Nothobranchius furzeri: one gene and its partner. The protein of the gene in region 1 purifies or fractionates together with the protein of each later gene. This does not show direct contact. Links are inferred from orthologs where the notes say so. Each region holds a gene or a part of one and is shown in the gene's direction. Other genes may lie near its edges. The genes, in order: snu13b and nop56.

Region 1 (4,590 bases):
AAATCAAATGCAAGCATCTTCAAGGTGACATTTCAATGTTTTAAAGCACCTTATGTTGATGACAATTCACAATCTATAACTGCTCTAAACAATTAATTTGCATCTTTATCACATATTTACGGGTTATTGTACAAAAACTAGTTGTATTTACTGTTGAAATACAATCAGTTTATAGAAAACACGCTTTAGATTTATCATTATCAGATTCCTCATTGCCAGATTATAATCCAAACCAGTAGACGATGGACATCAGGAGACAGCCACTGATGCTGGTAAATCTTTTAAGGCACCAATGACTGTCCATCTTTAATTTCACATTGAACCAACTTTAAAGAGAGATAACCCACCCTGAATAAGTGTGTGTTTTGTGTGTCCCCGAGTGAATGAACAGTTGGGATTTCCTTTTTGTTAATTGCATGTTTTAAAATGTGCTTTTGTCGTACAAAGATTGAAGGTTTCTTTCCAAATGAAAATCACTTGATAATTTTAGTCTTCATTCACCGATCCAGATATGTATTTGAGTGAGATACACACACCTAGAGTTAAGCCTTCTGAAAAATGCTAAAGCTACTACGTACCCTCTGGTATGCTAACTAGCCTAGCTAGCTGCTAGTTGTTAATTATCTTACATTTAAACAATTGAGGAGTCAGTCATTAGAGCCTAACACAGTGGAGATTAATTCATGATCATATACATACATGTCTAGAAAAATAGTTATTCTTGGTCACATCAAGTTTTCAGATTAAACAGTCATGTCAAGCTTAGCCGGCTGCTTGTTCCAAGACAAGACAGGTATGGTTTAAAACCACCCAAAGACAGTTAGTGACAGCGACTGGATGGGATGGGAACACTGATCCCGTCACGCAAACTTTCAGAACAAATAAAGTCAGCTCTCACCGTTAACTGACTGATTCCCCGAATCCCCTTCATCTCTCCTGTCTCCTTCAGCCAGGACAACGATACAATATGGCTGAATGGAAAGTGCCCTACCCAGAATGCATAGCGCGTTCATCTCTAGCTTGCATAAACCGCGCGCCCTCTTCAGACCAACAAATAAACTGCATCAACAATTTTTCCAGATCTAAAATCACAAAAAACAAAGAGTTCGAGAACAGCAAATGGGAAATATGAATCAAATTGATTGTGTGTGGAAAATAATTGGCAAATTAAATCTGATTAGATCGTGACACTGATTAATATTTTGCATTTACATAATTAGTAATTCTATAATTAACTTTCCATCATCATCATCATCATCATCATCATCATCATCATCATCATCATCATCATCATCATCATCTTTATAAAGCATTTTCCCACAACTAATAGTCACAGTCCACAATTTAGAAAAAAAAACGACTTCATGAAAGCCCACAAACGCCTCAGGTTTAAAACGAAAACGGGTTCAAAGATAAAAAGTCTAAACCTTCTTTCATATTTTTGTTTTTTTTATTAAAGGTTTATAAGATATCCCCTCGACATTTACAGTGTCATAAAGCAATACACACCATGATACACACTCGAAAGCTGTTTTAAAATAACTTTATTTGAACTTTAGAAAGTATTTTTCAGTTTGTTCATGTTGTTTGTTAATAAAGTTTGTTTTGAAAAAATTACATTCCCTGTGCGCATGTGCAGCCTGACGACCATCACACACGTGGGGTCAACGTTTGGATCTAGTGCATGCTGCAGATAATAGTCGTTTTGTGGCGCTATTAAAACTCGAATGAAACAAGAATAATTCACGTTTCGATTGTATTTATATTCTGAAGACAAATCAAATAGTCCTCCGTGAAGCATTTCGCCGAGAGGGCCGGATTACAAAAATGGTGAGCTTAGTGTAAGAGCTAATAGGCTAACAGACGGGCTTGCATGTAGCATGAATAAGAACACACGGTTGTGCGCTTTCTTAAAATAAGATAATGTGATTTTTGTTAAAGCTGGTTTGTTCTGTTGAAGCTTATTTTGAACCTTCTCATTTTTGTGACCAGAGTGAGCCCCAAGTGAACCCAAAGGCCTACCCTCTGGCCGACGCCACCCTGACCAAAACCATCCTGGACCTGGTGCAGCAAGCCTCCAACTACAAGCAGCTGAGGAAGGGAGCTAACGAAGGTGTGGAAACTATTCGGCTATTTTACTCAACATTTATAACAGAATTTGTAACGAAACAAACGTAGAAGGTGAAAATTTTGCTTTTACATGTAATTATTGGATCATAGGCCGTGTTCTCACTGCTGACTCAATGGTCGAACCAGAATTTCTTTCTCAGATGTGACCCACTTCTGCTTTTTATGACCCACATCTGCTTTTAATGACGTTCACAACACATATTCGTCATAATTATCAAGTTAGACCTGGGTCCCTTTCATATGTAATACTTTAAATCTGAATTTTACATCGACATGTGACAGATGTTCCTATCCTGCGGCAGAGGAAGCAGGAAGCTCTTCTTTACATGTGCGTGTCTGCAGCGCTGTACACTTGCCTCACTGGAGGCTGATGGCAGCTGCATTATCAAAAATTAGAATGGCGCATTAAGACCAATCCATCTATTTTCTTCAGTTTATCCGGGGTCGTGTCACGGCAGCTGCAGTCTACGTCGAGAGGCTTATACTTCCCTCTCCTCAGCCACTTGGGCCAGCTCCTCCCGCAGAATCCCAAGGTCTCCCCTGGTCAGCCATGACATATACAGTGCCTTAACATGCACACTAGAGAACCAAAGTATTGCCCTAAAAAGACTTCTGTAGTTTTTTAAAATGCATATAACGCGTTAGTCTGGCTGAAAGGGAATTGGTTCTAATCTAGTTCAAATGATAATGATAAATGACCCGCACTTGTGTAGCGCCTCTCAGAGTAAGGACTCCAAAGCGCTTTACTCTACAGTGTGTAATTCATCCATTAACACACACATTCACACACTGATGGTGATTAGCTACGATGTAGCCGCAGCTGCCCTGGGTGCACTGTCAGAGGCGAGGCACCCAGATAATACAGTAGCAAGGAAGCGCTGTTGAACGACGGGCGCTTTGTCCCTGTTAACCTATGCTCTCAGTCACATCAGCTGGGAAGCGCCACAAAGGCTCGCTCCGTGCAGCGATCATTTTGGCGTGAGCTCTATTTTTACGTGAGCCGTGAGTGAACAATTCTGGCAGGAAGTAAACTAAAGCAGAAGAGGCAGGCTGGTAAATTTAACAAAAAAAAAATTCACAATAAAACACTGCAATTGATAAAAGTGATCATGTTTGTGTATCTAAATAGACTAGAGAGATGAAAAGGAACAAACACACACCTGCAGAAAAACGTAGTGTTACCATAATTTAAAATTCAGTGTTTACAGCAAAAGATGGATTTAATAAATGTGAATACAAACAAATGCACAGCAGCAGAATCAGCACAGTGTCCAATATCAACAAGCAAGGCAAACTGGTTACACACACACACACACACAGAGCAAGGGCATGTTTAGAAAACAGTAGGCGTGAGCAGAAGTGCTCGTTGAAAATTCTCGCCTGATGTGACCAGAAGAGGAGCGGAGAGCGCACAAATTTTGTGAGCAATCCACTCCGCGGTTCTTCGCAGCTGGTGTGTTCTGGGCATAAGTCTCCTCCCAATTGGACGTGCTTCTCTCAATGTGGAGGAGCAGCGGATCTACTCCGAGCCCCTCCTGTATGACCAAGCTTCTCACCCTATCTCTAAGGGAGAGCCCAGACACCTAGTGGAAAAAACTCATTTTGGCTGCTTGTATCCACAATCTCATTCTTTGGGTCAATACCCAAAGCTGGTGACCATAGGTGAGGGTAGGAACGTAAATCGAAAGCTTCGCCTTATGGCTCAGCTCTCTTCTCACCATGGCAGACGGTACAATGTCCGCATCTCTGCAGACTAGGGCTGGGCAATAAATCGAAAATGTATCGTTATCAAATTTTCTGACTTATCGAGATAATTTTCCCATGTCAAGATGTGTGTAGGTTGTCAACGTTCATGTCCCTTTAAGAAGCTGTACCACCTCGTAAAAGTATGACTCAATGTAAAACATGTGACAGCCCCATCTAGTGGACAACTTTTGTTTCTGCGCATTCCTGTAGTTATCGTCCGTTTATCGTTATCGAGGTGAAATCCTCATCGTGATATTGATTTTAGGCCATATTGCCCAGCCCTACTGCAGATGCATCACCAATCCACATGTCGACCTCATGCTCACTCGTGAACAAGACCCAGAGACACTTAAACTCCTGTACTTGAGAGAGGACCTCATCCCTGACCCGGAGAAGGCATTCTACCCTCTTCCGACTCAAGACCATGGTCGCTGACATAGAGGAGCTGATTCTTATCCCAGCTGCTTCAAACTCTGCTGCAGACTGCTCCAGTGAAAGCTGGACATCACGTTCTGATGAAACTAACAGGACCACATCATCTGCAAAAAACGGAGACTCAATCCTTCGGCCACCAAAACAGATCTCCTCCACACCTTGGCTGCGCCTAGAAATCTTGTCCACAAAAGTTATGAACAGAACGGGTGACAAAGGGCAGCCTTTAAGACTTACAATGTCATTTTAGTATTTTACATTATCAAACGCAGTCTACTAAAA
Region 2 (4,552 bases), on another chromosome or scaffold:
TCAGCTTTATTTGAGGGTTTTCTAGCATGAACCGCCTTTTCAATCAATCAATCAATCAATCAATTAGACTTTATTGTTACTAAGGTAGCGCGACTCATGTTCCGAATGATCGCAGTCACCAATTCTTGTCATGTGTCTTACCCATGTATGTCTGATCTTTGAATTGTGTGCACTGAAACTCAATTTCGTTTCTCTGTATGTCCTGCACATGTAGTAGAAATGACAATAAAATGACTTTGAATTTGACTTCAGCCATATACGGTTTGTACACAGTGAGGCGAAACAACGTTCCTCCAGGACCAAGGCGCTACATGCAACATAAATTTACAACATAAAAATAACAGGGAGATCACACTATCTAAGGACAGAACAGACTGACCTAACATGACATGTCCTCTCTAAGTAGGTAGTACAAAGGAAAAAAAGAAAAACCGTAAACTTATTTAGTATGTAGGTAGAATCATACAATATTCATACATGGAGTAAAAAATAAAAACCACAATGCACAAACATAAACAACGTTGCACCATTTGGCTCCGGAGTGGCCGCTGCGTGCTACTGCCGCCGCCGCCATTGTCGTCTTGTCATTTTTAAGGTCATGTAGTAGCATCTCAATCGGATTCAGGTCAGGACTTTGACTAGGCCACTCCAAAGTCTTCATTTTGTTGTTCTTCAGCCATTCAGAGCATTGTTTTGTTTATTTTTCTTCTCTGTATTTTTATTTATATCTTTTCCTTCTCTCTCTCTCTCTCTCTCTCTCTCTCTCTCTTTTGCTATATTGTTTGATGTGTACGTGCTGTTAGTCAATAACGTTGTATATTAATCCAAAATGTTCAGGAATGTTTTTGTAAGATCTTAAAAGCAGAAATAAAAAAAAATAATAAAAAAAATTTGAATTATGGAACTTAATGCAGGGCGGGCATGAAAAAGACAAACCAGTTCCTCTTTCTTTATCCTTTTCATTGAGTCACAGAATGGGCAGTGATGAAGAAGAAAGTTGAAAAGAGGATTGCTATATCATTTTAATTGTGAGTCACACTAAGCAGTTGTAAAGTGAAAATGAAAATGCATTTCTGCAAATGCATTTTCATTTTCAGATTTGTCATTTCAAATTGAATTTTGTTACACATTTGCTGGCGTGTTATTTGAAAACTAGTTCTCAAATGCCTTTTTCTTTATCATTTTTCATGAAGTCATAGAATAAGCAATGATGAATAAGAAACTTAAAAAGCAGTTTTGAGAAATGCTTTTTCATTTTGATTGTGAATCACACTATGCAGTTGTGTTGTGAATATGAAATAGCATTTCTTCTAATGCAGTTTAATTTTCAAATTTGACATTTCAAATTTAATTTTGTTACATTTTTGCTGGAGTGTTATTTAAAAATTAAATCTTAAATGTGTTTTTCTTTATTCTTTTCATTAAGTCACAGAATAAGCAATGATGAAGAAGAAAGTTAAAAAGCAGAGGATTGCTTGTTAATTTTATTTATGAGTCAAATTTGGCAGTGGTAATATGAAAATGAAATATCATTTCTGCTACTGCATAATATTATTTCTGTAACACATACGCTTCCATATTAATTAGCCTGAGACGCCAATTAAACTTCAGTGTGATTGATTATAAGCAGATTTTGCAGATGTGAGGTCTGCAGCAGTTTCAGATCTCGCGGTGATAGGAAGATAACGCGGTACTTGGGGCACGCTCCAGCTCAGTGAAACGTCTTTCTCGAAAGGTAAAGCAGAACTAGCAGACACGCGGCGCGTGCTGCTGCAGAGATTTAACAAACATGGTAAGAAACGGTAATCTAACTATCCAAACCTTGCTCCAAAGTTTTCTTCGTTACTGTTAGTTACTCTTTTATACTAGTGAACTTTTAAAAAGACATTGTTAGTTTTAGAGGCGTTACTAAAGTCACGTCGAAGGCCTGCTAGCATCAGAGGAGCAGGAAACCGTCTTTGGTTGACGTTAGTGGGAATATTATTATATTTCACGGTTAAATGTTTGAACAGAAATCACACACCTGAATAAGTTGGTCGTATTCAAGAGGATTGCAACTGAATTTTACTGTCTAAAAGCAACACGTTTTTGCTAGGCTGTTAGCACGCTAGGTTATTAGCGCGCTCACGTGGGCCCGGGTCAACACGTGGGTTCTTCAAGGCGACGTGGTTACGGGTAAATAGTTGTGTTAGTTTGTTGAACTTTAAAAGTGGACACGTAAAGTGAACACAGGACAGTAAGCTGAATGCAACATACCTAAATTAGGGCTGCCTCCTGGTGACCACGTGCAGTCTAGTGTTAACACTTCCGTCGAGCAGGAAGCTTCCCTCCGACGCCTTAAGTTGTGTCAAACCCTGTTTCTGATTTATCTTGTGCAGGTTGTGCTCCGTGTGTTGTTCGAGCACGCGGCGGGCTACGCGCTGTTCGCCGTCAGAGAGGTGGAGGAGATCGGAATGCTGCTGCCACAGGTGAGTGCAGGATTTATCAAACCCCAGATTCTCGCCTGCCGGAGCTGAGATCGCTCACTGTTTATGTCTGACAGGTAGAGGAGAGCGTGCTAAGCGTCGCAAAGTTCAACAGCATAGTGAACCTGGCCGCCTTCTTCCCCTTTAAGTCGGCCCAGACAGCCTTGGAGAATATGAACGCGATTTCTGAAGGTTAGTGTTCAGTTTTTGTCTCACTGAGATTAAATCATCCTCAGTAGTAATGATGTGTTATAATCTGTCAATCCACTGAGTTAATATGATGACAGCCTAATGTGAACTCTGAACATCTGAGGATCTCCATGTGGTCTGGATTAAGCCTCCAGTTGTTAACCCAACTTCTGTTTATGTGGATTAAATAAATTACCTTAAAAATATTTATATGGTAATTATGATTATTTGTTTGTAGGTGTGGTTCATGCAGATCTCAAGCTGTTTTTGGAGACAAACCTACCCCAATCAGCAAAAAAGAAGGCTGTTTTGGGAGTTTCTGATGCCAAAATTGGAGCTGCTCTTCAAGAAGAATTTAATATTTCCATCCAGACTGGTGGCGTGGTGGCTGAAATAACAAGAGGTGAGAATTAAGTTTTATTAATGGCTCGATCTAAGAAGCCATAACAATCAGGTCACTTACAGATGGATTTTGACTTCACGTCTTCTGAACATTTCAAAGCTGTTGTGATGTGATCTTGTGATCCTGATGCTCATGAAGGCTCATACTGAAAATCTGAACAGCCATCAAAAAACAGCATTCTTTCACTATTCCCTCCCAGTACGAACTAACACACCTAGCCATTTCTCTGATTCAAACAGGCCTGCGTTTGCACTTCCACTCATTGGTGAAGGGTCTGACTGCCCAGGCCGCATCCAAGGCACAGCTGGGTCTCGGTCACAGCTACTCCAGAGCTAAAGTCAAATTTAACGTCAACAGGGCTGACAACATGATCATCCAGTCCATCGCTCTGTTGGATCAGCTCGACAAAGACATCAACACATTCTCTATGCGTGTCCGGTAGGATTCTGATCTGAAGGTTTATATTTGATCATATGTGGGGTATACTGGTTAGAATCTGTAAGAAATGTTTCTGCTGAGCGTTTCAGCTCATTTTTCTTTAATTTCATAAGTGAAATGTTTTCTTGAGCACTCCTCCTAATGCTTACCACAGGCAGCGTACCACAGAGAGCTGTCTGTATAGAAACAGGAGGTACAGGAACCTCTCCTAACGCTTGTGCTGTGCTAGCTTTAGTCTAGTAGGGCAACACTGTTGGGTGAGACAGGTTGTATTGAGATTTGTCACAATCACCAAAAACCCTAAGCTTGTACCACCTGTTTTTACACAAGGGTTTTGGTTTTATTTCCAGTGAGTGGTATGGTTACCACTTTCCAGAGCTGATTAAGATTGTCCCTGAAAACTCCATGTACTGTCGCCTGGCGCAGCTGATTGGTAACAGAAAGGAGCTGTCTGAGGAGAGTTTGGAGAGCCTGGAGGAAGTGGTGATGGACAGCACCAAGGCCCAGGCCATCCTGGATGCATCTCGCTCCTCAATGGGTGAGTAACATGTGCTAATGTGTTCCTGCTTTAACTTGTGCCCCTTTTTTGCCCACCTGGACCTCTAAATGTCCTTGGTGTCTAACACAGGGGGGTAAAGAAACTCTCTCATAAACCTGTAGTGAAGGCACAAACCCTCACTGCGGATCCTGTCGGGAGAAACAAGCTCATGGTTCAGATAACCAAACAGAATCATGAATTTCCTTCTGCTCACCACTTCCGGGTTGTTTCTATTTTAGGTATGGACATCTCTCCCATCGACCTCATCAACATTGAGAGGTTTTCCAATCGTGTCGTTTCTCTGGCTGCTTATCGGCTGGGGCTGCAGGAGTACCTGCGCTCCAAGATGAGCCAGGTGGCACCAAACCTGGCGGCCTTAATCGGAGAAGTGGTGAGCACAAGTTTATTTAATCTAGTTTTATGTGGACCAATGATGTCATGCCTAAATCTGTCAATCCACTGATTTGATGTGCTGAGAAACTCTTCTGGTGCTGATGGTCCCTGATGTGTGTAACTGGC

The links.
Region 2: the proteins of snu13b (region 1) and nop56 fractionate together in Homo sapiens (co-fractionation; 3 studies listed by BioGRID, with this or other methods). This does not show direct contact. The link is inferred for Nothobranchius furzeri from reciprocal best matches to the Homo sapiens genes SNU13 and NOP56.

Annotation. Positions count from the first base shown.
Region 1 is NC_091756.1:29,118,762-29,123,351, forward strand, and holds the start of snu13b (NHP2-like protein 1), read left to right. Parts: upstream 1-1,649; 5' UTR 1,650-1,827; coding exon 1,828-1,830; intron 1,831-1,992; coding exon 1,993-2,113; intron 2,114-4,590. Other genes in the region: uqcrc2b (cytochrome b-c1 complex subunit 2, mitochondrial), read right to left, coding at 899-931.
Region 2 is NC_091743.1:55,550,464-55,555,015, forward strand, and holds the start of nop56 (nucleolar protein 56), read left to right. Parts: upstream 1-1,649; 5' UTR 1,650-1,789; coding exon 1,790-1,792; intron 1,793-2,256; exon of another isoform or gene 2,257-2,378; coding exon 2,379-2,468; intron 2,469-2,542; coding exon 2,543-2,657; intron 2,658-2,892; coding exon 2,893-3,057; intron 3,058-3,296; coding exon 3,297-3,495; intron 3,496-3,845; coding exon 3,846-4,033; intron 4,034-4,081; exon of another isoform or gene 4,082-4,200; intron 4,201-4,272; coding exon 4,273-4,424; intron 4,425-4,552. UniProt on the Homo sapiens protein: Involved in the early to middle stages of 60S ribosomal subunit biogenesis. Required for the biogenesis of box C/D snoRNAs such U3, U8 and U14 snoRNAs. Part of the small subunit (SSU) processome, first precursor of the small eukaryotic ribosomal subunit.